Linked DNA regions of Drosophila melanogaster. The gene in region 2 interacts genetically with the main gene of each other region. Each region holds a gene or a part of one and is shown on either strand. Other genes may lie near its edges. The genes, in order: neur, Lrrk, Dp and Atg7.

Region 1 (4,909 bases), about 12 Mb from region 2:
GAAAAAAGCTAGCAAAGTTAGCACAAGCATCTTTGTGTATATCCCCAATAGTTAACAACTGGTATTTATAGTTAATCAGTTGCAAAACGTTTACACTTGTAGAGATAACATTTCGCAGTGTCCGTTATCAAAGCGCGAAATTAAGCAGTGCTTCATATCAGCTATATGAACTATACTATACTACAATAACTATACGCAAACTTCAGAATGACACATCGAGATGATGACCTCATGAGGGGGAGAAAAATAAGTGAAAAAATAACGAAGGGGATGCATGAAAGTGGAAAAATATAGCAACAGATGTATGTAGCGAAAATGCTCAGCATACAACTGTGCTCAACAGAAAATGGCTTACTGGGAAATCAACAATAATATGTTAATATTGAAGCAATATTAGCAAAATGTCTCTTAAACATTATGTTTACAGAAATTTGTTTTTAAGCGGCGACTTACATATTTTGAACTTAATAGAATAACATTTTAGGTCTCAGAAGTTAATGTATGTATATTTATGGTGACCAACATTGTACTTAGATATGTACTTATATGTACAAACTTCCTTGGGGGGTGCGTACCGTCATTAACAATTGACTATTTACTTTTGGCCAACAATCGAAGGTCGGGCGACAATTTGTATTTGTGTGTCCCATAATCGGGGTCTCAAAGACGAGTTGGCAGTGCTCAGTTGCAAGCACACGCACGGCCAAGCAAACCATTTCGAAAAGTAAACCGTGAGAAGCTAAGTAAAAGCCAAGAGCAGATAAACTTTTTAGCCAAAGCAAACGTGGCATGCCAACACACAATAATAATAACAACAACAAACAAGGTACGAAATGTAATAGAAAATGCAGGTACAAAAAAGCAAAAGCAGCTGACGCCGAGCAAAACAACAACAAAGCAATTTCATTGATTACCGATAGGCAACGCACGTTCAAAACAAACGGACTGGAGCCGCCGCATAAAACATAAACCATTGCGGGCTTAAGCGCTCAGCAGAAAAATAAAAACTCCAAACACACTCAAGCTTCAAAGCCACGCCTCTTCCTCTTCTCATCCCGCTAGTCCATGGCTCTTCTCTTCTTCTCCTGCCGTGGATCGTTTGCTTTTCTGTTGTTGCTACCTTTGTTTTTGCTTTTGCCGATGGCGGCAACGGCGCTTCGCGTACAATTCCCCGAAAGGCAACAGCAACAACAACAAGCAATACTGAATGAGGCAGATGCAAAAACAGTGGTGGCGGGAAAAATGGAATCTCTTAAATACAGTACAATATTTTGCATAGCCACTTTTGACAAATAAAACTATTCCAGTGCTGAAGGACTAAATTAATAACTTTTTTTTATTATTCATATTGCGTCGTTCGTTGATATTCGACTGCTAGTTGTGCGACCACAATTGTTCGTAGGAGGCCAGTAAAAATAAAAAAAAAAGGGGTAGAAGCTTAGCCTATGCGTCACTGGCTTTGCTTTGCTTTTGCTTCGCCTGCTTTGGCCAAAAAAGAGAGCATTGAAGCCGAGAATGCAATTGAGCCAAAGTCAAAAAAAAAAGGTGATTTGTTGTTTTTACTTCTTTTTTTTTGTCTTTCCTTAGCTCAGCTGCTTGCAACCAAAACAAAAACAGCGCAACAAATTCCCCAGCCCAGATAATCGTTATGATAAACATAATCGCTCCTTGGGAAAATTGCTTTTGGTGGTATTTTCTTCAACTCAAGATCCCTCCGATCTGGTCTTCTCGATCAATTTGCGGTTACTTGGGTGCGATTGAAAAATTCAGTTTTCGAGAACTGACATTTCCGGCGAAAAAGTCGGAGTGTCGATGTTAAATTCTGCCGAAAAAGCCTTGAGAGAATTTCACATTTAAGATTTTTTCGCGCTTCTTTTGTGTCTATCTAGTCGGAAAAAAACAATTACTATTATAATCGCAAACTGGGCGTGTTCTGGGTGAGCATTTATTCATTAGCTTTTTGTTTTAAACTAACTCAAACTTTTTCGGTTTTTGCTCTTATCTTTCGTTATTTGTTATTGTTCTTGAGACGTAAAATGCTAATGTATGCATAAATGATTGCGGCTGGCTGTGTTTCTCGCTTATTTATCTTGCCGCTTTAATTAACCGAATGAATGAAAGAGCGATAGGTCAGACCACATGCTAATATTATGTGGGAATATCGCTGGAGATAAAAATACGATTCCCAGATCGATGAATAATGTATTTAAGGCATTTTCGCACGCGGTAATTACATTTGCTTCAAGACTTTAATGGTCAGATATCACGAAGGAAGTTTTATATTGTTAAAATGTACTACATCTACTTTAGAACCCAATCACACTGATTTTAAAAATTATTCCTGGATATTCCGAGAATTGTACGTCCTTTGAAAAACGACTTGGAAATTAACTGAATATTCTTGTTAATATATCCATCGATATCCTTAGCCCGATTCTTAGCCTGGTACTAATGCGACTACTAACCCAATCCAAAGCGCTTCTTGATCTTCTTGAGCAAGTGCATTTTCTTCTTGCTAGAGAGCTTGTCCTTGGTGCTCATGAGCAGCTCGTTGGACTCCATGGCCAGGACCTGGGCGGCCTGCTGGGCGGGAGTGGGCATGGCGTTGTGCAGCTGCTGCATCTGTTGCAGATGCTGCAAGTGCTGCTGATTCTGGTGGTGCTGCTGCTGCGGATGGAGAGTTAGGTGCGGATGGCTGCCCTGCATATAGTTGGCTGGTATATCCGATAGACCCATGGTAGTGGATTATTTCTTATTTCGTTATTTAAATTAAAACAGACGAACTAAACGAACACGCGTAATGCTAATGAAAATGCACAAGCTGCTTGCGTATTTTATTTGGCATTAAATTAAGCGATAGAGTTCTTCTTCGAATTTGAATGTTTTCCGTTAAAACATTTTGAATTTGGTTGGTTGTTTGTCTGCGCGCAACGGGAACAAACGAAACGAAACGATACGAAACACAAAGACCGACGACGACAACTTCGAGACAACCTTTCGCTGAGTTTTTTTTCAACAAATAAACGGTGGTGCAGCCTTTTATAGCTTCGCACCAGCGCGACGTCGCTGACGCAGCTCAGCTGGAGAGTAACGGATAGTACTGGCGCGCAGAAATTCTCCCGTCAGATTTGGCTTTTTTTAGTATATGTTTTCAAGATATTTAGAAGTTTAGGTATGCCAGTAAGACATATTTGGAAATTTAAGTTTTTTATAATTACTATTAACGTTTAGTGACAATTTGGGCTGTAGATTTGAATAACATTTCCTGTTTTACAATTTAATTAAAATCAAGAAACGGTAACTAAATTACATTAAAAATGCTTCAATTTATTTAAACTTATAATTTGTAAGCAATCTATTCAAATAATTTAAAATTTATCCATTTTCTGGCTAAGGGCTGTCAGCCCTGAGCGTGGATGGAGCGAAAAAGAGAGCTCAAGAGAGAAAATTATGAGACGCCATCGCTCTCTTTCTCTCTCTGGCAGCTGTTTCTTATTTACTATGGTTTCGCTTTGTGCCTGCTATTCGCGTGTATAGAGCCTCCCTTATAATTTACCTTTATGCCTCTAACTCTGCACCTTGATCAGGGATTCCTCCACATCTTCTCCTGCTGTTGCTCTTCCTGCTTCTTGTTGTTGTTGCTCTAGGCCTGCATTTGGGATTTTGGCCATAGTGCTCTGATCTTCACTAACAGTTATTCTCCTCACCTTAGTGTGTGTGTAGTTCAGCCAGGTTCAAAGCAATTCTTTTTCTTTTTCGCAGGGTTTACAAGGTCTGGCTCATATAACTAGAAAACTATTTCAATTGCCCTAATGCTTTTGATCGTGAACTTTGTGGGCCAAATATCACACGTACATACATATGTGTGTATGTATGTACTCAGTTGGAGTATGTATGGAGTAATTCCATGGGAATTAAAAAAAATTCCCAAACGTTTCTTGATAATAATAATAAATTTCTTCTTTTCCCAATTGTTTTCGGCACATTTAATTGTCCATTTTGTATGTGCAATTTATTTTAATAGAGAATATGAAACGAGATTTGTTTTTGTTTTGATTTTTTAAGTTTGCACTATAAAGATTATAAAATGAAATGGAAAGTTTGTAACTCAATTCCCAGTTTTGAAACCATTAGCTTACACAGAATTTAAAAAAATGTACCTATGATCTGGGACACATGCTATTGTGGTCTCATTTGCTAAGCTTTAGCATTGTGGTCAGCAGGATAACTGCCGTCTGGCGTCTGATCATCCTTTATCCTTTATGGATGCCACGCTGCCATTGATGGAGGATGATAATTGCGCCGAGCGCTCCTTATCCTCATCCTCGTCCTTTTTGTCCTGCATCGACAGACGGAACCGGGCAGACCTCACAGCAGATGCAATTTTCAAGATCGGAAGGGATCAAGACGGGGCAGAAAGCATTTAAATTTTGATATTAAAGTGGAAATGCATATTCAGCATCCTGGCAGCAGGCGTGCGTCCTGGAAATACATCTGCTGCTGCTTACCCGATTTCCCCCTCCTGTTCGCTCAGTTTGCAAAAATGCAAAAAAGGTCGGAGAAGGTGATGTTGGCGAAACAGGAACCGGCAGACATCGAGACCAACGAACAACCCCAAAAATTGTCAAAGAATACAGTGATCATTGGATAGAAATATTTTTTATCGACTTTAGGTTAAGTAGAAATATTAAAAATGCAGAGTAAATATCCTTGCAATATTATTTCAAGCCCTAAACCAACCTTATTTTTAGGATACCATTTCTTTTTTTTCTTTTAAATGTATGAATACTTATGTATTATAATTGCGTATCATAGTTTTTCGCTTATCGATATCCACTGTACCCATCATGATCACCAACGAAAGGTGTCCATCTGCGGTTGCAGTTGGAAAAAGGATCCGAAAAGGGTT
Region 2 (4,992 bases):
ACTTAGATCCAACTGCTTAAGTGTTGCCGGGTAACTGGTTACATGTCCCATAGAACGCAGACTGTTGTATGACATATTCAGCCGTGTTAGGTTTACAGCCAGACAGGGCAAAGCAGCGGGGATACTGGTGAAGAGGTTATTTGCTATATTTAAGCTACTTAGCTGGGAGGAGCCCACACCAGCTGTCTTTCCATCGCCTAAATCTTGTTCATGCTGCCACTTCATGTCATTATCGGTTATGTCCAAAGTAGCCGACCATAGATTGCGATGGGTGAGACGTTGCTGAGTCACATTTCGCGGTTTGTTTGATGGCGGCTCCTCAAAAGATTGCAGATTCAATTTGTCTAGGCTCAGCAGCGAACTGCTAGTTTGCATTGGCGGCACAGGAAGATCCCGCAATAGGTTGAAGGCCACATTAAGTTCGCGCAACTTGGGTGCACGCCACAGGTCGAAGGGAAGCTGTTGCAGTTTGTTATTTGAAACATCCAATATAGATAGGGCGGGCAGGTGAAAGATGGCGGCTGGCAGCGTAGTTAACTGGTTGTCTTGTAGAAAGAGTTCATCCAGTACCGGACACCCATATGTCTGGCCTATTGGTGCAGGTAGATCGGTTATCTTGTTTTGCGCCACATTTAAATACCTTAAATGAAGGACTAATATAATTCTTGAAAAACTTATTACTTTGTCTTTACTAACCTTAGGCTAACCAAATGGAAAAGCTCCTGTGGAATTGACGTGAGAACGTTGTGCGAGAAATCTATTCGCGTGATAGCTGTCAGAGCAACCTCATTAAGTCGCGGATGCGACTGTAGCTTAGGATTCAGCAGCAACACACCGCTGACCATCCAGGGAACCCTTACAACAGACAACTGGACACTGGAGCCCATGCTGTGCCAGTCAATAATGGTTGGATTGTTGGGGAACATAGCACTGTAAGATATGTTGCTGGTGGACGGCAAAAACACGTTCACCTCCACTGGTGTGGGAAGACCCTTCTTGTTGATCTTGTAGTCTGAGTCCGGATGGACTCGTCGGGCCAAAAGACGACTCAGGATGGCCTCGTCGCCGCATGTAATAGCCATTCCAATGGCCGTGCCATTATCGTCGCGGGCTCCATGCTTAAGCAAGAGATCCAACATAGCCAGCGACCTTTGCTTGCAGGCCTCTGCAATGGGGACATTACTGAGCCCATATATTTCCTCGCAACATTTCGGGTCGTTGTGATCCTCAACTGGCTTGGCTACAATATTCGGATTTGCGCCGTGCTGTAGCAGAGACTGCACCACGTCTAGGTGGCCGCCTCGAACGGCCGCAAGCAGAGCTGTTTCTCTCGCCGCTCCACATAGCAGATTCACGTTAATGGGACACCGTTGGCACTCGGTTGACTCTTGTGAAGCTAGGTCGTCGGGTCCTTCTGACTCTCCAGATATGTGCAGTTTGGACATGATAGCCTGAATGCCAAATGAAATACGTTTCCTGGTGGGCGTAATAGGAGTGCTCACCGAGCTGGCGGAATCGCCCAACGTACGCCGGCAATGGAGCTGCCACTTTAGAAGCACACCAACCAGCTGCTTGTTTCCTAGGATGCTGGCAATATACAGACTCGTCTGACCCGTCACATCATGAGCGTTAGCGTCGAAGGGGAGCCGCCATTCCCACTGGCCCTCCTCGTCGCGATATGTCTGGTAGAGGTAGTCGGGATAACTGTAGCTGATAAGGAGTTCCAGCAGCTTGATGTGTCCATTGATGCAGGCGGCGTGCAGCGGCAGCCAGCGCTCTACAGTCGGCTGCTGGATCAGTTCTGGAAAATGGTCTAGCATCAGTCGGGCAATGCCCAAGTGACCGCTATGGACGGCGGCGTACAAGGGTGAGTACTTGGTCACGGCATGGGAGCGACCATCCGCTCCAGCATCCAGCAATCGCTGTGTAATGCTCTCGTAACCAGACTGGCAGGCTCTAAAACGAGACCGATATTAGTTTGGCTCAAAATGGACTAATTCTAAAAGACTTTTTCTCACAGGAATAGAAGGGTGTTTGCTCCTGAAGGAGCCATATTGACTATAATCTGACGCTCAGTTCCAAGAGCTGCCAGCAGCACCCGCACAGTCCGCTCATCGCCAGAGATCACTGCCGTTCGCAGCTCCCCGTGCTTGATCTGACGCACTTCCTCGCGGGCATCTGTGAAAGATAAGTTTTGCTTGGTTAACTAATACACAGCACCTTTGGAATAAACCAATTCCCACCCCGTATTGAGGATGCCTCAATGACCTCATCCACGAAGTAGTCACAGGCTTCCAGAGCTGTTTCAGTTCCAGTTTTGGGATGTTCCATGCTGAATTTCCATGACATTATGTAACCCAAATCGGTGCGAATAAGCCCCAAAAATTAATTGGCATCGGTATGATGACCGAACGCGCCGCTAGCAAAAACTGAACTGCGGAAAATCGATGGCCACGTTTTTGTGGTCATTGATCCAGGCCGTTTTATGTCGCACTGCGCAAGTCGGAGCCCAAGAAGCGCGGCAACTGTTGCACTTGTTCAAGAATGTGGCATTGGGTGAGTGCGTGGCATTTGTTTTGATTTGTCTCTTCGTGGGTGTCGGATGGTCCAGTGGTTGCACCAGTTGCTTCTGTGGGGGGTGGCTGTTTGAAAAAAGTTTTTGCGCGCCCACTTCCATTGCACCAATGTCACCCTGTGCCCTTGCTGGTGTTGTTGAAAAACCAATAACAACTGGTTGAAGTTTTAATTGCACCACTTAGGTAATTTGCATAGTCAAGCGTATAATGCTCATTTGCACTCTGACTAAATTTGCGCAAAACTAGCATATTGTGCATAATTTCACTAAAAGTTGTGTTATCTCACCTTCGTCGGAGTCGCTCATTGTTTTGGTTTGTGTACTTCACGAGATATCCAAGTCATGCATGGTATGTGTTAAATGGGTAGTTGTTATGGTCCGATTAACCAGTAGCACCTTTTACTGACCCTTACTTAATTATTTTGCACATTTTGCGAAATTTTCACTTTGTTTACCTTTTTGTCAACAAACAGTGTAACCTCTTACTGTTTTAGAATATATCTCCTCATTTTGGCACGATATGCTGTTAAGCGCTCTGTGTGACCGAAATATCGCAAGTGAATGCTGTTAATCAGTGTCGCACGCAGGGGGCTTCGTACTTTTCTCCAAAGATTAAAGCCAGCTTAATAACTAAATCATAATCTACCCAAAATCATTGATTTTTATGTCCATTGGCTTAAATTTATAAATTAAAATTAATTTAACAAGGCCGAACAAGTATTTGGAAGACGCATTTATTATTTTTATTCATACACATCTAAAAATTTGTTCCCAAGTGAAATATTTGAAATCCCAACTGATGCTGAAATATCTCATTTCTGATAGCATACATATATAAATACCAAAACGCGATAAGGTGGTCATCGTTTCTGTTACTTTGCACTGCTTGTCAACTCAACAACAGTAATATCGATATTATTTAAATCAGTTAAGCAGTGAATCACTATCGACTGTTACTTTTTGTTGAATTTTATTTTGTATGCTATGATTTTATCTAAAAGAATTTGATTCTTAGGAACTGTTAATTATTTTTATTTATTTTTTTTTTAACATGCAATTTCCTGTTATGACTGTTTACGAACAAGAATTTATTAGCACCGTGTATTTGTGTATATTTTATAAATACTGATGCCAACTGTAACCTATATCGATATAACAATCGAATGAAACACTATCGATATTAACCAGCGCCAGCCTAGAACGCCCTGTGTTCAACAGGAGTCACCCTGTGTTCGTTAACAGACGCTTAACAGCACGATCTCAACAATACAAATAAAAACAATTTAATATTCCTTAATCGAACACAAATTTGAGCCGATTGCACGGTGCGTTTGAAAAATAACAATACCGCGGAATGGCCGACAGAGGCCAACTGAAGGTGCCGGTGCAGAGAATCAAGTAAGGAGCAGCGTAAACTGCGCAGCTCACACCCAAAAAAAAATCGCTATAAAGGCGAGGGCTGGCCAAAATGGAAGCAAAAAACAAAAACAAACGAGCTGCGCCACAATGCAAGTGAAACTTCGATGAAAACTTGCCAATCCGTGTGCTTTTCAAGACTTTTCTGACTGTCTGCAATTTCCATTTTTGTGGCATCGCGACTTAGAGATGAGACATCGGTGCCGCGTAACTTTTTTATACCCTTTCCGCGGTATCAACTCCACCCGTTCGGTCACGGAATTTGAACATTTGGCTCTGAAATATGCCTTAATGGCTTAGATTTTCATTATGGAAACTTTTCTTTCAACGGCCATATCGAATTCGTTATAAATCCTGCTTACTTCAGTCATTCAACTGCCTAAAATTGCAAAAAAAAACACGTAAGGGCATTCATAGGTCGCCTTGGCTGACCCTGAATTCTTGTTTTTGTTTTCAAGTTGACCCCTCCCACCCCCAGCCAACAACTTATGACTGTGTGATTCATACTAAATAAAAGTCAGCGTTTTTGTTTTAATTAACAAGAACCGACGATTTTAGAGGCTGCTTTTCTATTTTATCCCATGTGGTAAAGGGCGGTTAGAACCAACTCAGTTTTACAGTGCATCAATGGATGTTATCCAGATCTCTGATCATCTCGAGGGCAAAGCCAAGGGAAGGGGTCGCCTTCTTATCAACGGGTGGGCGGTTGATTTTTAGTAATTTCCGTAATTCGACACCAAAACAATTATCGGTACATATATCGCCATATGTTTTCTTTCAAGTAACCCGGCGCCACCTTCTTATTTATTCGCAGAGAGATTGGCGTGCTGATTTAAATGGAAAACTTTGAAAACAACAATCTGTTGATAAGGTAACCAGCGAAATGCGGGACAACTAGCCTCCGTAGCCTGAAAGAGGCCATTGAAAAGTCTAATTAGGAGGAGCTGGTGATCCTCAAGATCCGAGGCACCAGATCCAAAATCCGAACTTGAAGATCAAAT
Region 3 (7,425 bases), on a different chromosome or scaffold from region 2:
AATGATTTTGATGATCTGTTCGATGAAGACAACTGGGCCAAGATGAAAACCGATGGGAAACAGTAGAGGCCACCACGCAATAAATGGATTGAAAGATTTGTATTCGCGACTCGTTCTTCTGTCTGTAATTTTACTTGCACAATCAGCGATCATTGGTGTATAAAAAATTGCTTCAACTATTGTTTAATCGCTTATTATATTCATTTGGTTCGTATAACTAAGGTAAATTGCCATGTGAGATAGTGCCGAGGTGGATATGAACTTTGGCTTAGCGTAAATCAACAAAATGCATAATTTTGTACAAAAAAACGAAACTATTAACTAAATTTATCGAACTGAGTTTCAGGTGGAATGAAGCAATCATAATTGAGATAAATACAAATGTACACAATAACCTAATGGATCCGTGGAAGTTGTTAACCAAGTTGTAGGCCCTCTGCAAAGCTATCCGTCCAACGGCGTGCCCAGATAGACCATCGAGACCTCGGTATTGCCGTAGACAGCGGATACTGTGGGATAGAGCTTTTTGTCCGGCAGGCCTGCAAGGTGAAAGTGCATAGAATCGTTCGTATCGCTGGTATCACCAAACTATTTCCCCTTACCCCGGAAGGCCACACCGAGGAACTCGTAGTTCTTCTCGAACGACAAGGTGTTGTCCTCGCAGTCGAGAATGACGCGTATCCGCTCGCCCACTTGGTACTTGGGAGCATTGTTCAGCAGCGGGTAACTGCCCTGCATGTCGCCGTTGTGCAGCAGGTGGTTCTCGACCAGATTCCAGCCCCAGCTCTGGTCGTCGGAGCCGAGCAGAGCCACATAGCCGTGACACTGTAGAGCCGCCTCCTTGGTAGATATGCCGATGACGGCCACAGTGCCCAGCGGTCCCTCCCATATCACCTCCCAGGTGTGACGACCGTGGCGGAATCCTATCTTGCCCCGGGCCGCGTCTGTGCTCTGCGCCACGGGATTGCTGCGGGAATGGAGGGACATACATATAACGCCGACTCAAGCAAACCGAATACCTTACCGATGCAGGGTGAATCCGTTCGGCTTAATGTACACATTCCTCGAACAGTCGTTGGGGCTCCAGGCGTGAAAATAGGCCCGCAGCTTCGTCTTGTACGTGGAGACGGAGGCCAGCAGGTCCGATTTGAGGGACTCCTTGGGCAGCTTGTTCAGGCAGTGCCAGCGCCAGACGTCGCTGTTCTCGTCGTTGAGGAAGTGGTACCAACTTTTGCACACCTGCGAGCAATGACTGAGGTCGTCCAGCTCCAGGTAGGAGAAGATTACCTCCAGCACATTGTAATTGCACAGCGCCGCCACCGGATCGACCATTGTGTGCGTGTGCGCTCCGCTGCTGGGCTCGTGTAGATAGCTGCTTGGATTTACCCGTTCCTGTTGATTGTCATTTTCCCACACCAACCAAATGGGTAAAAATAAAACTCGAAAACTTTAATATTCTGCGATTCAGGGTGACCGTTGGCGGGCTGCCAGCGAAATACCGCTCACCTGGACAAAGTGGCAACTTTGTTTACATCCGCGACCAGTGTGCGATAGCGACTGTCGCACACAGCTGCTTACAACACTGCGTAAATTGATGCGTAAATTGGCGCGCACTGTCTGCCATTTCATTCGCACCCGCACACAGCCTGCTTTGCCTTTCCCACATGAAAACGAAAAGCAGCCACTTGGTGGAAATTTTGTGACCATTTTGTTGCGCTTAGAAATTGCGGAAATTCGCGCTGCTGCCAGCCGTTCGATAGCTAAAAGTTCGCCGTATCTTTTGCCACTAATCTCGTGAAAATCCGTGCGCCGAAACACCGCGAAAAAGGCCACCGAAAAAGGGCCGCCGCTGTGAGTGTGTGTGAGCAGCAGAAAAGAAAAAAAAAATGCCCTGCCGCTGGAAGTGAAAAATGCGCTCGCCATTTTGACTTGGGCGACACTTATTTTTTGTACAAGTGCGCTCCCCATTGCAGTCGTCGTCGTCGTGGTCGTGGTCCGCATCCGGATTTGCACACGTGCCCCAGTCCGTGGGTGCAGTACGTCCGCCTATCCACCGCCGTCGCCCATTCCAGCTCCATTTGCCCCCCCCTAGCACACACGTTGCGGCGAAACGGCACGTAGCACTGCTCTTTCCTTTTGTTTTTGGCGGTCCACCTGGTGAGCGGTAAGCGACAACAACAAGATCACTTGATCTCCGGCGGCCGAAAAATGGCGCATTCGACGGGCGGTACGGTGAAGACCGATGAGGTGAACTTCTTCTTCCGGAACGAGCACGGTAAGTGGGCGGAAGCGGTGTCCTGTAATAGGAGTTTTGCTCACGATGGAGTGAGTGCACTCCCTCCCTCCGCTATAGTCCATCATACACACACACCCCCTCATACACAAGGCGACCCACACAGATACGCTACAAAGTTGCATGGGCAGCGTAAAACGCCATCTTTGCTTTTTCGGGTTTCTTTTGCCTACCGTATTCATCGTTTGATACGCTTTGCGGGGGGAGGCCAGCGAGACGAACCGAAAAGAGTGCTAGAAATTGGCAAAAAGTAATAATAAAAGACAGAGACCCCCGCGAAATAACAACTTATATCAGTAAGCCACCCAGACCCGCCCCCTTCTGCCATCTACGCCCATCGCCCAGTTGGCGCGCTTGCTCACACACACACATGCACGCACACTAGCACGCGCGCGTTTTCTCCTACTTATTTTTTTGTTTTTTCATTGGGCGGCGAACAGCTGATTACTTCGCCGCCACTGCGAATTCGCTTTGAGGATTTAGCATGAAGTGAAGTAGTGATAAATCGTTGATTTCAGCTACGTACAAAGGTATTATTGTGAGGGACATTGTAAATTCAACTTGAAACAAATGTATCTGAACAGCGTGACATTCTGCCATATCTTAGCGAGTGGGAGAGAGACGGGGCGCACCGCCAAGAGAGATCGGGGTGAGAGAAAAAAGGCCACAGCAAGAACAACACTGCCACACACACACACACGTAGTCAGCCACGAAGCTGAAGCCCAAAACAGGCGAGAGCAAATAGGTGTAAGCGCTGTACACGTGTGTAGTTGTCCGTCGCCGCGTTTATGCGGTATTTACCGTACCCCGCAGTACTGAACTGATTAACTTCATGAGTTTCATTCAGTCATGATAGCAAAGAAGAAGATATGGATAGCTTTATGACGTGCTTTTATTTGTATAAAATGTCTCTTTAATCCCCAATATGTAAAGAAATAGTAATTTTTAATCAGTGATATTGCTCTTTGTTGAATATGAAGCGCGCATAAACGCTTTATATAGACCAGTATATCAGCCTGTTCGTACCAGCGAGTTACCTGGTTTGTAGTTATCTGCTGGTTGACTGGTGCAGACGAACTATGGAACTGCTTCTCCAATTGTAGGGATTATGGTTTCACCTGCATTTTGGGACTCTGCCTAGGCATTGTAGGATAACTCCCGCCGAGTTTAAGACTCCCATCGTTACCATCTGGTGGGACAGTCCGGCATTTTCTCGCATGTGTCCGCTGCTCAAGCCCCCGTGAGTCTGACTCACTTGCAGGTGTGTGTGCGTGTGATGTGCCCGTGGGTGCGGGAGAGTTGGCAGGTATTTTTAGCGCTCGACCCTTTGCGGTTTTTGTTTTGGGCATCTTCATCTCCATTATGCGTTGTCCACCTGCTTTGTTGTTATGATTATGCAAATATTGGGCTGGCGACAGGTGAACAATTATTACATCGAATGAATACCATCTAAAACTGGAAATGTTTAGAAAAGCCGGTTGGATACGAAACCCAGGGGTGCCAACCGAGTAGTCTTAATGGGTTTCCGGTTAATTCTGCCTTGATATTATAGTTGCTTTGGAATGGAAGTGCTCATAGTGTTGGATATACCAAATTAGCAGTAAATAAAATTTACTAAAGAACGCAACTAAGAACAGTGATTTGAAATGTCACGCTTTTAAAAATACTAACCGGTATCATATTTGCTCTTACTTTTTCTTCTGCTTAGGCTTCTGCTTGATTTATTGTCTTTCCAGTTAAAAGTCGAATTGTGAGTTTTAATGGGAAACCTATAATCGCACTATATTTAATTCAAATTATATTCGAACTTGGATTAATCCGACTAATGACTGATCAACAATCTTGTCGAGTCACGAACTTTAGTATCGAACCATCTCTAATTGGTTAAGGGTCACGTGGTTGCCATCACTAATGTCCAGGCGATCTGGTTTCGGGTTGTTTATGCTTCTGCATTTGTATCCTTGTCACACCGATTGAAACACACGCACACTCACCACCAGCACGTGAGTGTGGGTATACCTTGTGTGTATGTGTGTATGCACCCCAATCTTAATGTGCCGCTCGCCTTTCGTTGTTGTATTCCGACTCCAGTGCGCTTAACTCGCTCCATTCCATTCTCTTCACTTCGCTGCGATGAATTCACCGTATATACGGCGAAAAAACGCATCGTTGATAGTACCACACATACATTCAGTTACTCGCTAACACTCTGACACCCATGTGTGTGTCTGTGGAGTACATGCAGTTTTGTTATCAACGACGGCATTTCAGTCGCGTGTTATGTGTATATCGGAAACTAAGGAACCTCCGCATCTTCCAATTTCCAATTCTGCAGGACAAATATCCAAAATGCTGAAGCCGGCCCAGAACAAGTCCGAAATGGAGGGAGGTAAGCCCGTGGCGGTGGTCTACGCCACCGGCTCATCCGCGCGCAACAGCGGAAGTGCTAGCGGCATCGGCAACGTGGGACGCATGGGCGCCTTTAGTCAGATGGTAAGTGTAGAACGCGGTTGCTCACGTTGCTTACACTTAGTACCTAACGATCCGATTTAAACGCAGGGCAGTCAAGGGCAGTTTATACGACTGCAGGACAACGGACTGTCCATTCCAAAAACAGAAGGTAAGCGTGTGATCCTCCTCTTACCACTTCAATTAATCATTGTATCCCTTATTGTAGCAGGTACCACCTACACCACCGTTTCGGCGCAAAAGACTTCGGGTGCTGGCAGTGGTCATTACGACTTGCCCTTGAAGGGAGATCGCTATGTGAAGTTTACACCAAATCCCATAAAAATGAAATCAAAACTGTAAGTAGTAACCAACCGAGCAGGATCGAGGAGGATACTATAGCTTTGTTCCTTCCCAAACAGCCATGCCATTCAGAGCAACTCGTTGCACTCCATGTCGGCCTCCTCATCGTCCGTTCAAAGGAAACGCAAGCCGGACAAGGCAGGCAAAGGTTTGCGCCATTTCTCGATGAAGGTATGCGAAAAGGTGGAGGAGAAGGGCAAGACCACCTACAATGAGGTGGCCGACGACCTGGTCAGCGAGGAGATGAAGAACAATGCGTACGACAACAACTGTGATCAAAAGAATATCCGACGTCGTGTCTACGATGCGCTCAACGTACTGATGGCAATCAATGTTATTTCCAAGGACAAGAAGGAGATTCGCTGGATAGGACTGCCCGCAAATTCGACAGAGGTGGGACTTGTGTTCACCAAAGGCACCAAACTCCATGCTAATGTGATTATTTTGTCCCCTTTTCATAGACATTTCTGGCCCTGGAAGAGGAAAACTGTCAGCGCCGCGAGCGAATAAAACAGAAAAACGAAATGTTGCGCGAAATGATCATGCAGCATGTGGCGTTCAAGGGATTGGTCGAGCGGAACAAGCGAAACGAGAGCCAAGGCGTGGTGCCTTCCCCGAATGCCTCGATCCAGCTACCGTTCATCATCGTGAACACGCACAAGTCCACGAAAATCAACTGCAGTGTGACCAACGACAAGTGAGCGCTCACACTCAGTCGGAGTATGGCTTGTATTCTATTTCCCATATATCGTTTCAGGTCCGAATACATATTCAAGTTCGACAAAACCTTCGAAATGCACGATGACATTGAGGTGCTCAAGCGTATGGGATTCCTATTGGGTGAGTGTGTTTAATATTGGGCATTCGGGATAAGAAATTCATTGCATATGCTATTACCTGCAGGACTGGATAAGGGCGAATGCACGCCGGAGAACATTGAACGAGTCAAGTCGTGGGTGCCTCCAAACCTTGCCAAATACGTAGAAGGTATGACCATATATTGTCTTCCAATTCACTGTTATTAAACTTTATATTTGGCCCAGCCTACGGCACCGGCAAGACTGGCGAAAATATGTACGAATCGGATGACGAGGACAATGAGTTCAACGGGTACCTGGAGTCGGCCAATGAGTCCCAGGGCTTTGCACAACACTCGGCACAACACACCACCGATGGCGAGTTCAAGCTGGAGATGGATGATGACGAGCTGGACGACGACATTGATTGAGCTGATGGTGCCGCCGTCATTGTGCCAGCCATGGCCGATGCGGACACGGATGCGGATGGAGGAGCAGATGCTGATGCGGAGGACACGTTTAGTTTTACGTTTATCAACGCTTTGTTAGGTTTGCCACGGCCCCCTGGTTAGTCAGGAGCCGCACTCCACTCCAATCCACTCCACACCCAATCCGACCCACCCACACAATTGGTTTTGTTTACTTCTCAATGAGACTCTTAAATTATATATATACAATCTCGCAGCGACGAGAAAGATTCGGTAGTTCATGTATGTAAGTGTAGTTTGCATACACAGTTTGTAATTGTATCATTGAAGATTTATGTTTAAGCTGAAACGTTTTTAAAATAATTTGTCTAGTTAAGGAGAACGCGTTTTTAGTTCAAACCACAATTCACATAAGGCAATACCGCGAAACCACATGCCCAGACTAATGTTCACTCTCTAATTAGTTGTTATCAGTCTCCCTTTTCCCCCCAATGGCCTTTTCATGTTTGGGTAGGCTTAAGCAAAAGCGATAATGTTATGGGTAATTGTCTCTTAATAATATAATATACCAAAACTGTACACAACCGCAGTGAAATGCAATTATTTTTAGAATGCCACGAGCAGTTTGAACTGCAGACAAGAGCGAACATATGAAATATGTTTAATTTGCTAACACCCTTTGACAAAGCGATTCTTTTAGATTCTCAAAACCCAAATTTTAAGTTGACAAGGGAGTGCAGATAGTTGCGAAATAATCAACCTACCTAATTAGTAATAACAATTAAAACACGATATACATTTTCAGAATTTGTATTTATATTATTGAACCCTCTTCAAGTGAATACAACAGCATGCAAATACAAATTAGTAGTCAAGTATAAGGCGTTAACAATTAAGTGTCGAGCATGTAGTTGTGTAATGAAACGAAATAATTGCATGGATGGAAAGGAAATTGCAAACAAGTGAGACGAAATCGAACCGAGTGACAAGTTAATAAAGAAGTAATTTGCATATTGTAAAATATGATAAACAGAGAATTTAATCTTTTCCTCCCTTCTGCTTGCACCCAACCCAAGCAATAAGTCCAATAATCCA
Region 4 (6,636 bases), on a different chromosome or scaffold from region 2:
ACAACCATTTAATGAAAATTTAAACATTTTATATTCCTGGACTAAAAATATAGTTTTAACTTTACATATCTCTTTAAAGTATAACATTTGTGAGCGTATTTCTAGGATGTCATCTACTTTGACCGAGACATAATAAGCAAATTTACATATGCGATTAGTTCGTGGCTTTCTAACCAGGTTTATTCAACTTTGAACTATTCTTTTCGCATACCTGGCCCACTATGTAAATCATTTGCATATTCCCAAAACAATTTTATACGAACATTCATCTTTGTTTGCGTGTTTTCGCCTTGAATAATGCAGCTAATAACATATTCAATGACCGATCGGGAATTGAAAACAATATTTTGGTATTTGTCAACCACAAAAATGGGAATTCTCAGATCAGAATAATATTTTCGCCTATAAATGAGTGCTCTTATCAGCAGAAACACGTTTCGTACAAACAAACAAAGCTTAAAGGCTGCGACTTGTAAATTGGCGGAAATACATTTGTTCCCGTACTTAAGCACTTTTATTATAACAATTTTCAATAGTAAATTCACACTTTTATTATTACAATTTTCAATAGTAAATTCACATTTTTCTTATGCCTAATTTTCACATCAATTTCATTTGAATGATTCACAATTTGCTTAACGACTAGATAGAATAAAAGCATTGAAGTACACACATTTTTGGTATAGACATTGAACTATAAATGCTGCAGAAAATTAAAGCCACAATAAGCTGAATTTCATATTTAAGATATTTTGCTTTGAAGATAAAACTTGACCAATTTTGTGGAACCTAATCCTCGTCGCTATCGGACATGTCAAATTCTTCATCATCAAAATCGATAATCTGTGCAAAAATATGAATAATTTTTAAATATCTCCATTAGATTAAACACAGGAAACAAACAAACCTCGCTGTTTAACCGCTTGAATTCGGAGATTCCCGTCAAATCCTCCAGAAACTTGGCTGTTTCAAAAGTTTTAAACAGGAAAGCATGACCCTCTTTTTTATATTCATTTAGGACGGCCTGTAAGCGAATATATTAAAAAAAAAATTTTAACAATATTGAAAACGCTATCAAAACCATTTTAAAAGATTGTCAAATCTTACCGCTGAACAGGCTATGCACTGAGCAAACTTTTGAGTGGCGGGCAGAATATTCTCGTAGTTGCACAGCATTCCACGGATGGAGTGAGGCAAAATTCCTAGCAGACCCTCCGGCACCTTTTCTTCCGTCTCCTCCGACCTGCCACGCCCACTCTGTGCATAGTAGGCGGGTGCCAGCTCCTTACGAGGATGCTGCAGCAAAGCCACCAACAATTCCACCGCATAGCTGGCCGCAATGTTGGATACTCCGGGTCGTGTCACTGTGCACTGTTGATCCAAAGTTCGGTCTTTGAGCGACTGAAAATGGAATAGAACGAAATGCAATGAGTATCTGTATCCAAATTTGTACGTACAACTTTATAAAGCGAGTCTATAAGAGATTTTTTTATACAGAGTTTTTTTCAGTGTGATTTGGAGCACATTCGACGCCGGTGCAGTAGTACGATCAAGAGCTTTTGAAAGCTTTTCTGTGTCCACAAACACATGCTCCGAGCAAACAAAGATGACGCCTTCGGGCGAGAACAAAACAAATAGCAGCGCTTAAAAACCAAAAACACAAGATATAGAAAACTTCGGCGTTTGTATCGGTTACTTGAGCAACCCGCCGCTCCGCCCATCACTGATTAGATAAAGTTTTAACATTTGGGAGAGCCGGAGAACTCCGGACTCTCCCACGGAACTATAAAACACATTTTGCGCTTGATTGTTCAGTACAAAGGCGATAGTTAGTTGAATTGGTAATTGCAGGAAGGAATCATGTTGACCGAATTCGCTGGCAATCTATCGCATCCGCTGGAGTTTGGTCATGTTCTGGAGGTCGTGGCCAAGACCATCGATGGAGCAGCCAGGTAAGTGTTGTCCGGCATTAATGTAAGACCGCTTTTCCGTTTTCTGACTAATTACTTGTCAAATTGGGCTTCTTATCAGTACGTGACTAATCGATTGTGATCATTTGGTTCGGATAGGTTCCACATTAACCTCTGCACGGCCAAGAGCACGGTCGATCCGAACGCAGATATTGGGCTACGCTTCTCATGCTATTTTCGGAACGATGTGATCGTTCGAAATTCCCGGATAAACGGCGCCTGGGGCGAGGAGGAGTCCCATGTCATGGACCCCAACACCCTGCCCAATCCCATCGTCAGTGGCGAGTTCTTTTTGGTCTACATTCTTTGTTGCGAGGACAGCTTTGCCATCTCGATAAATAGCCGAGAGTTCTGCAGATTCCGCTACCGCATGCCGTTGGGAACGATTCGTGCTCTGGAGATCCGTGATCAGATCCAAGTCATTAAACAGGTGGATCATCGTACTGTGTTTCCAAATCCGTGGCCAGCCGTTCACGCCTCGGACTACTTTAAGGCGTTCAGTAACGATCAGCCAATTTTGTTTAGTCCGGGCCATGTGATTGTCCTTACAGCTCGGTGTTTCGAGAATAAAAAGGGACAGTTCATAATCAAGTTCATGGACTCGGATACCAAGCGCGAAGAGCTACACTTCAGTGTGCGTTTCGATGAGAAGGCAGTAGTGCGCAATTCCATGAACAAAAATTTTGAGTAAGTTAACTTTATAATGCCGTACCTCTTTGGGCGTTAACTAATTCTTTTTATAGATTCGGAAGCGAGGAGCGTCATGGAGGTTTCCCCTTCGTCTTTAACCAGCAATTCAAGCTGGCGCTTGCGTTTACGGAACGCGAGGTTTTGACTGCAGTGGACGGTTATAACTTCTTCAGCTACACCTGGCGCACACCTAATGCCATGATGAATCTAGTGGGTTTCAAGGTGACCAGCATAAATGGCCTGGTAGTGCAGATAACTGGTGTGGATCACCTGCAGACGGGGGATCCTACGTGCGCTGGCTTCGAAAAATATTCCCGCCATGATTACGAATGCGTTTAGTAACCATGTTAACCCAACTAATGAAGTCTGAAAATACAAATGTTATCTTAAACTATACAACAAATGGGACTTACATTTCCAGGGGCCGTAACATCGTTACAAAAGTAGCAACCTAATTGATCGCCATTAATGCACTTAAGTCCTTCGATTTCTTGGCCATCGTCGCCTGCTTCCTTACGCGTAGTGCCATGTCGCATTACCAGATAACTGTCAAAGCCTAAAGCTGCGTTGATGACAATCTATAAGGGAAACATTTTAGGTACATCTCTTCTGAAAGGTGAGTATATGATTGTTCCCACTTTTTCCTTTGCCGCTCCAAGCAGGGTGGGCAGCCAGCGGCTTTCGCGCGAATCTGTGAGCAGAAAGATGACATCATGGTCCTGCACAAGCTTTTCGATAACCTTCAAATGCTCCTTCGTCTGGGCTAGAAGCGATTCTCCAATAGTATGCCCAGGCATGGGAATCTCCAGCACATAACCCGCCGTTTCCGCAGACGGATTGATCTCTTTCAATCTCTGAGCAGCTGTAGTCGCCTTCATCCGATTGCCTGCCACAGCATCTGCATGCGTGTAGAGATTCTGACGCACTGGATTAGAGAACCCAACCTTGCCGCTGTCCAAAAGGGTTATGTGCTTAAATCCCCAGGACTACAAAATAAATAAACTATTAGTTATCAGATCAGTTAAATCATTTCGTATAAAAGCACACCAGCAGATTTCTAGCTACAGCGCATCCTAAAGTACCAGCTCCAAAGAGCAGGCATTTTGTTTGGGAGATGATTTCGAGATTGAGATCGGGAACAAGGCGCCACTTCATTAGTTTCAGGTTCAGGTTTACAGAGTTCTCAGCGAGTCTACGGAAAGAAATATTGTTAAATTATAAATAATAAACAAGTTACTTTCAACTGTCGTGGTAGCTAACACTAAGGACACACCTCAATGAACTGATAGTTCTTATCATTTAAGTCTATAGCTATTAACTTACTTGGCTGGATCCATGCTGTCCCTCATGCACACCATTCTTGGCCCCATTTTGCCATTTTTATTTAGCTCCCAGCCCACGAACTTTATATTTTCGCTTTGGCTAAGATCGCAAGCTTCAGTCTGAATCACCTTCCATACAAGGCTGTCATCGATGTTCATTTGTTGATTGTGTCGCAGGCCAAGAAACTTCAATGGTTTTCCAACAAAAGAGGGACTGTAATAGACCGACAACTGTGTGAACTGATATCATAACATTGCTATTCCTACCTACCATTGCTGAAGCAGAAAGGCAGCATAGTTTCGCATTATCCAAGCTGGATGCTCATACTCGCTGGGATCAGCAAAACCAAAATAACAGAACTCAACATTTTTATCGTCAAGGGAACTTAAACTACGGGCTTCGAAAATGTTCTTCTCCACATTAGCATACAGAATGAAGAAGTTCTGTGACTCAGTGGGTAAGGCCTTTAGAGCCATTATATAGCTACTACTATTGGGCAAGTCCCGCAGTTTTTGGACGGCTCCCTGAAGCTTTAAGGTGGGCGTCAGCGGGCACGGAAAGGCGAACCAATAGTAGTAGCTGTGACACTTTAAATCGGCAAAGGAGAGAACAAAGAACCGGGTCAATAGACTGGGATCTCTCAAGGCGCCACCACTGCACATATCAGCCAGCAGTTCCTTGCCCTCATCGGCCAGCAGTTGTAATTTGTCCAGGGCCTTGAACTCTTCGATTGTGTTCTTATTGTAGATGGTGCCTATAGCGGAATGGCTGAATTTTGGAGGCTTTGCCATTCTGGAATGTGGGTGGTCAAGCGCTGGTTTCATCAAACTCGTAGTTTTCAAGCTCACCTGTTGTAGGCCGTGTAGTCTACTTCCAAAAGGCATCCACTTGCATTACGATTTGTGTAGTGTCCAGTAATGGAGCGTTTCGAGTCGGACAGGCGATCGTGGTCGAGCTTAAGCTCCGCTAGCTTGTGCCAGAAAGTGGGCGACACAAAAGATTCCCACGGAGCAAATTGCAAAATTATCTCTTTTTCCGTGCTCATGTTTTGCTTAGGGCGTTGTTTACGTTCAAACGTTTGGCTGCAAATTATAAACAAACAAAGCTCTCGATGGCGATAGACCAATGAGAAGATAACTTATCGATAAGTACAGTTTTCCATACTTAGGTCGAATCCTCTGTTGCTTTGGCAAACTAAAAGATATACTTTAACTTCATAATTTTTTAAGCTTGAAGAATAAAATAAAAATTTTAAGACACAATAAAACTATAATAATTTTAAGAGTAGAATATAGCTTATTGTCAAGTTACACTGTAGTTCTTGGAAGTGAGATTGTCAGCCGCACTGCTATATGGTCACACCAGCACTTCCACTGCTGACGAAGATTGACCAAAACAGAGACTGAAAGTGATCCAAATAAATTGAAGATGGATTTACAGCAGCTGGAGGAGCAGGCTCGCCAGGCAGCGCTCAAGGACATACAGAACATGTTGCAGCGACCAGGTCAACTGGAGAAGGTGGAACAATATCGCCACCGAATCGCCCGGAAGAAGGCATCCGTTGAGGCGCTCCTTAAGACCGGAATGCAAGGACAGCTGGACGGGGTCAGGGTGGGACTTAAGCAGTTGGAGACCTGCATGCAGGACGTGCGCGAGGTAAGGCGTCGAATGGACGAGGTGGAGCGCCTGCTGAGGGGCGTTCCCGAAGTCTACGACGCTTTGGAAGTTGTGCGGGAGGAAAACACAAAGCACTCCCAGTACGCCACCGCCATGGAGAATCTGAAGCACATCTTCAACGTAGATGCCAGCGTACAAAAGACGATGGCGCTGATCGAGGATGATAAGCTGCTTAATGCCCATCAGTGCCTGGCGGATCTGGAGAATTCGCGGGATGATCTTCTCTACGAACTGCACAAGCAGCCCAAGCAGCATGCGTCCGACAAGATCACCCTAAAGCGTCACTTCGAGAAGGTTGACACGGTATCCCAAGAGCTGGAGAAAAAGCTGCGACTCATTCTTAGCCGCACGCTGAACACTCTGCGCAAGAAGCCCACCATCATCGTTACCGCCCTACGCATCATAGAGCGGGAAGAGAAAAACGACCAGTTCGCGTTGCAGCAGCAAAAGGTCACAGGATTCCTGCCGCCTGGAAGACCAAAGGCTTGGCGCCGCATGATCATGGACGTGCTACAACAGTCGGTGATAACGCGCATAGAGGGATCCAAGCTAGAGGAGCGGGCCGATAACAAGATGTGGTTAGTACGAGACCTGGAGATATTGCGTCAAATCATTCTCGAGGATCTGCGCGTTGTGAAGTCCCTTTGTGTGCCCTGCTTCCCGCCGCACTACGACATTTTCGGCGAATATGTCAAGTTCTATCACGAAGGACTTTCTAGCTATGTGAGTAATCGTCAATCATTTAAATTGATTAATGTTTTTATACCACTAATATTTACTAATTCCAGCTTGACAACATTGTGCGCTCGGGCTTGGAGGGCAATGAATATGTATCAATGATGGCTTGGGTTACACACACCTATCCTGGCGTCGAGCTGATGTCCCATCCGGATCTTAATGTGGATGTACACCGACAGATAGGTACTCTGCTGCGTCCGGAACATCTCAAAGCGCTGGAAGATGAATATCTGCAAAA

What was found.
Region 1: of Lrrk (region 2) and neur, changing one suppresses a phenotype caused by changing the other (phenotypic suppression), as found in Drosophila melanogaster (one study listed by BioGRID).
Region 3: of Lrrk (region 2) and Dp, changing one suppresses a phenotype caused by changing the other (phenotypic suppression), as found in Drosophila melanogaster (one study listed by BioGRID).
Region 4: of Lrrk (region 2) and Atg7, changing one enhances a phenotype caused by changing the other (phenotypic enhancement), as found in Drosophila melanogaster (one study listed by BioGRID).

The regions. Positions count from the first base shown.
Region 1 is NT_033777.3:9,030,714-9,035,622, forward strand, and holds the start of neur (neuralized), read right to left. Parts: upstream 3,019-4,909; 5' UTR 2,737-3,018; coding exon 2,466-2,736; intron 1-2,465. UniProt on the Drosophila melanogaster protein: Involved in neurogenesis. Interacts with other neurogenic proteins in the specification of the neuroblast versus epidermoblast cell fate.
Region 2 is NT_033777.3:20,633,527-20,638,518, reverse strand, and holds the start of Lrrk (Leucine-rich repeat kinase), read right to left. Parts: upstream 3,040-4,992; 5' UTR 2,882-3,039; coding exon 2,863-2,881; intron 2,704-2,862; coding exon 2,431-2,703; intron 2,421-2,430; exon of another isoform or gene 2,332-2,420; coding exon of another isoform or gene 2,244-2,331; intron 2,179-2,243; coding exon 2,019-2,178; intron 1,957-2,018; coding exon 697-1,956; intron 641-696; coding exon 1-640.
Region 3 is NT_033778.4:13,220,838-13,228,262, forward strand, and holds Dp (DP transcription factor), read left to right. Parts: upstream 1-1,595; 5' UTR 1,596-2,208; coding exon 2,209-2,275; intron 2,276-2,753; exon of another isoform or gene 2,754-2,823; intron 2,824-3,337; exon of another isoform or gene 3,338-3,625; intron 3,626-4,484; exon of another isoform or gene 4,485-4,574; coding exon of another isoform or gene 4,575-4,629; coding exon 4,630-4,787; intron 4,788-4,853; coding exon 4,854-4,914; intron 4,915-4,971; coding exon 4,972-5,101; intron 5,102-5,164; coding exon 5,165-5,498; intron 5,499-5,566; coding exon 5,567-5,802; intron 5,803-5,862; coding exon 5,863-5,945; intron 5,946-6,008; coding exon 6,009-6,092; intron 6,093-6,148; coding exon 6,149-6,333; 3' UTR 6,334-6,908; downstream 6,909-7,425. Other genes in the region: CG17059 (uncharacterized protein), read left to right, coding at 1-66; Fsn (F-box synaptic protein), read right to left, coding at 445-539, 603-967, 1,025-1,332. UniProt on the Drosophila melanogaster protein: Component of the DREAM complex, a multiprotein complex that can both act as a transcription activator or repressor depending on the context. In follicle cells, the complex plays a central role in the site-specific DNA replication at the chorion loci.
Region 4 is NT_033778.4:18,619,932-18,626,567, forward strand, and holds Atg7 (Autophagy-related 7), read right to left. Parts: upstream 5,114-6,636; 5' UTR 5,029-5,113; coding exon 4,832-5,028; intron 4,776-4,831; coding exon 4,254-4,775; intron 4,197-4,253; coding exon 3,984-4,196; intron 3,853-3,983; coding exon 3,708-3,852; intron 3,647-3,707; coding exon 3,299-3,646; intron 3,239-3,298; coding exon 3,074-3,238; intron 3,056-3,073; exon of another isoform or gene 3,000-3,055; coding exon of another isoform or gene 2,714-2,999; intron 2,658-2,713; coding exon of another isoform or gene 2,070-2,657; intron 1,953-2,069; coding exon of another isoform or gene 1,861-1,952; exon of another isoform or gene 1,610-1,860; intron 1,402-1,609; coding exon 1,108-1,401; intron 1,025-1,107; coding exon 908-1,024; intron 844-907; coding exon 790-843; 3' UTR 535-789; downstream 1-534. Other genes in the region: CG5335 (uncharacterized protein), read left to right, coding at 1,861-1,952, 2,070-2,657, 2,714-2,999; Sec6 (secretory 6), read left to right, coding at 5,412-6,383, 6,449-6,636.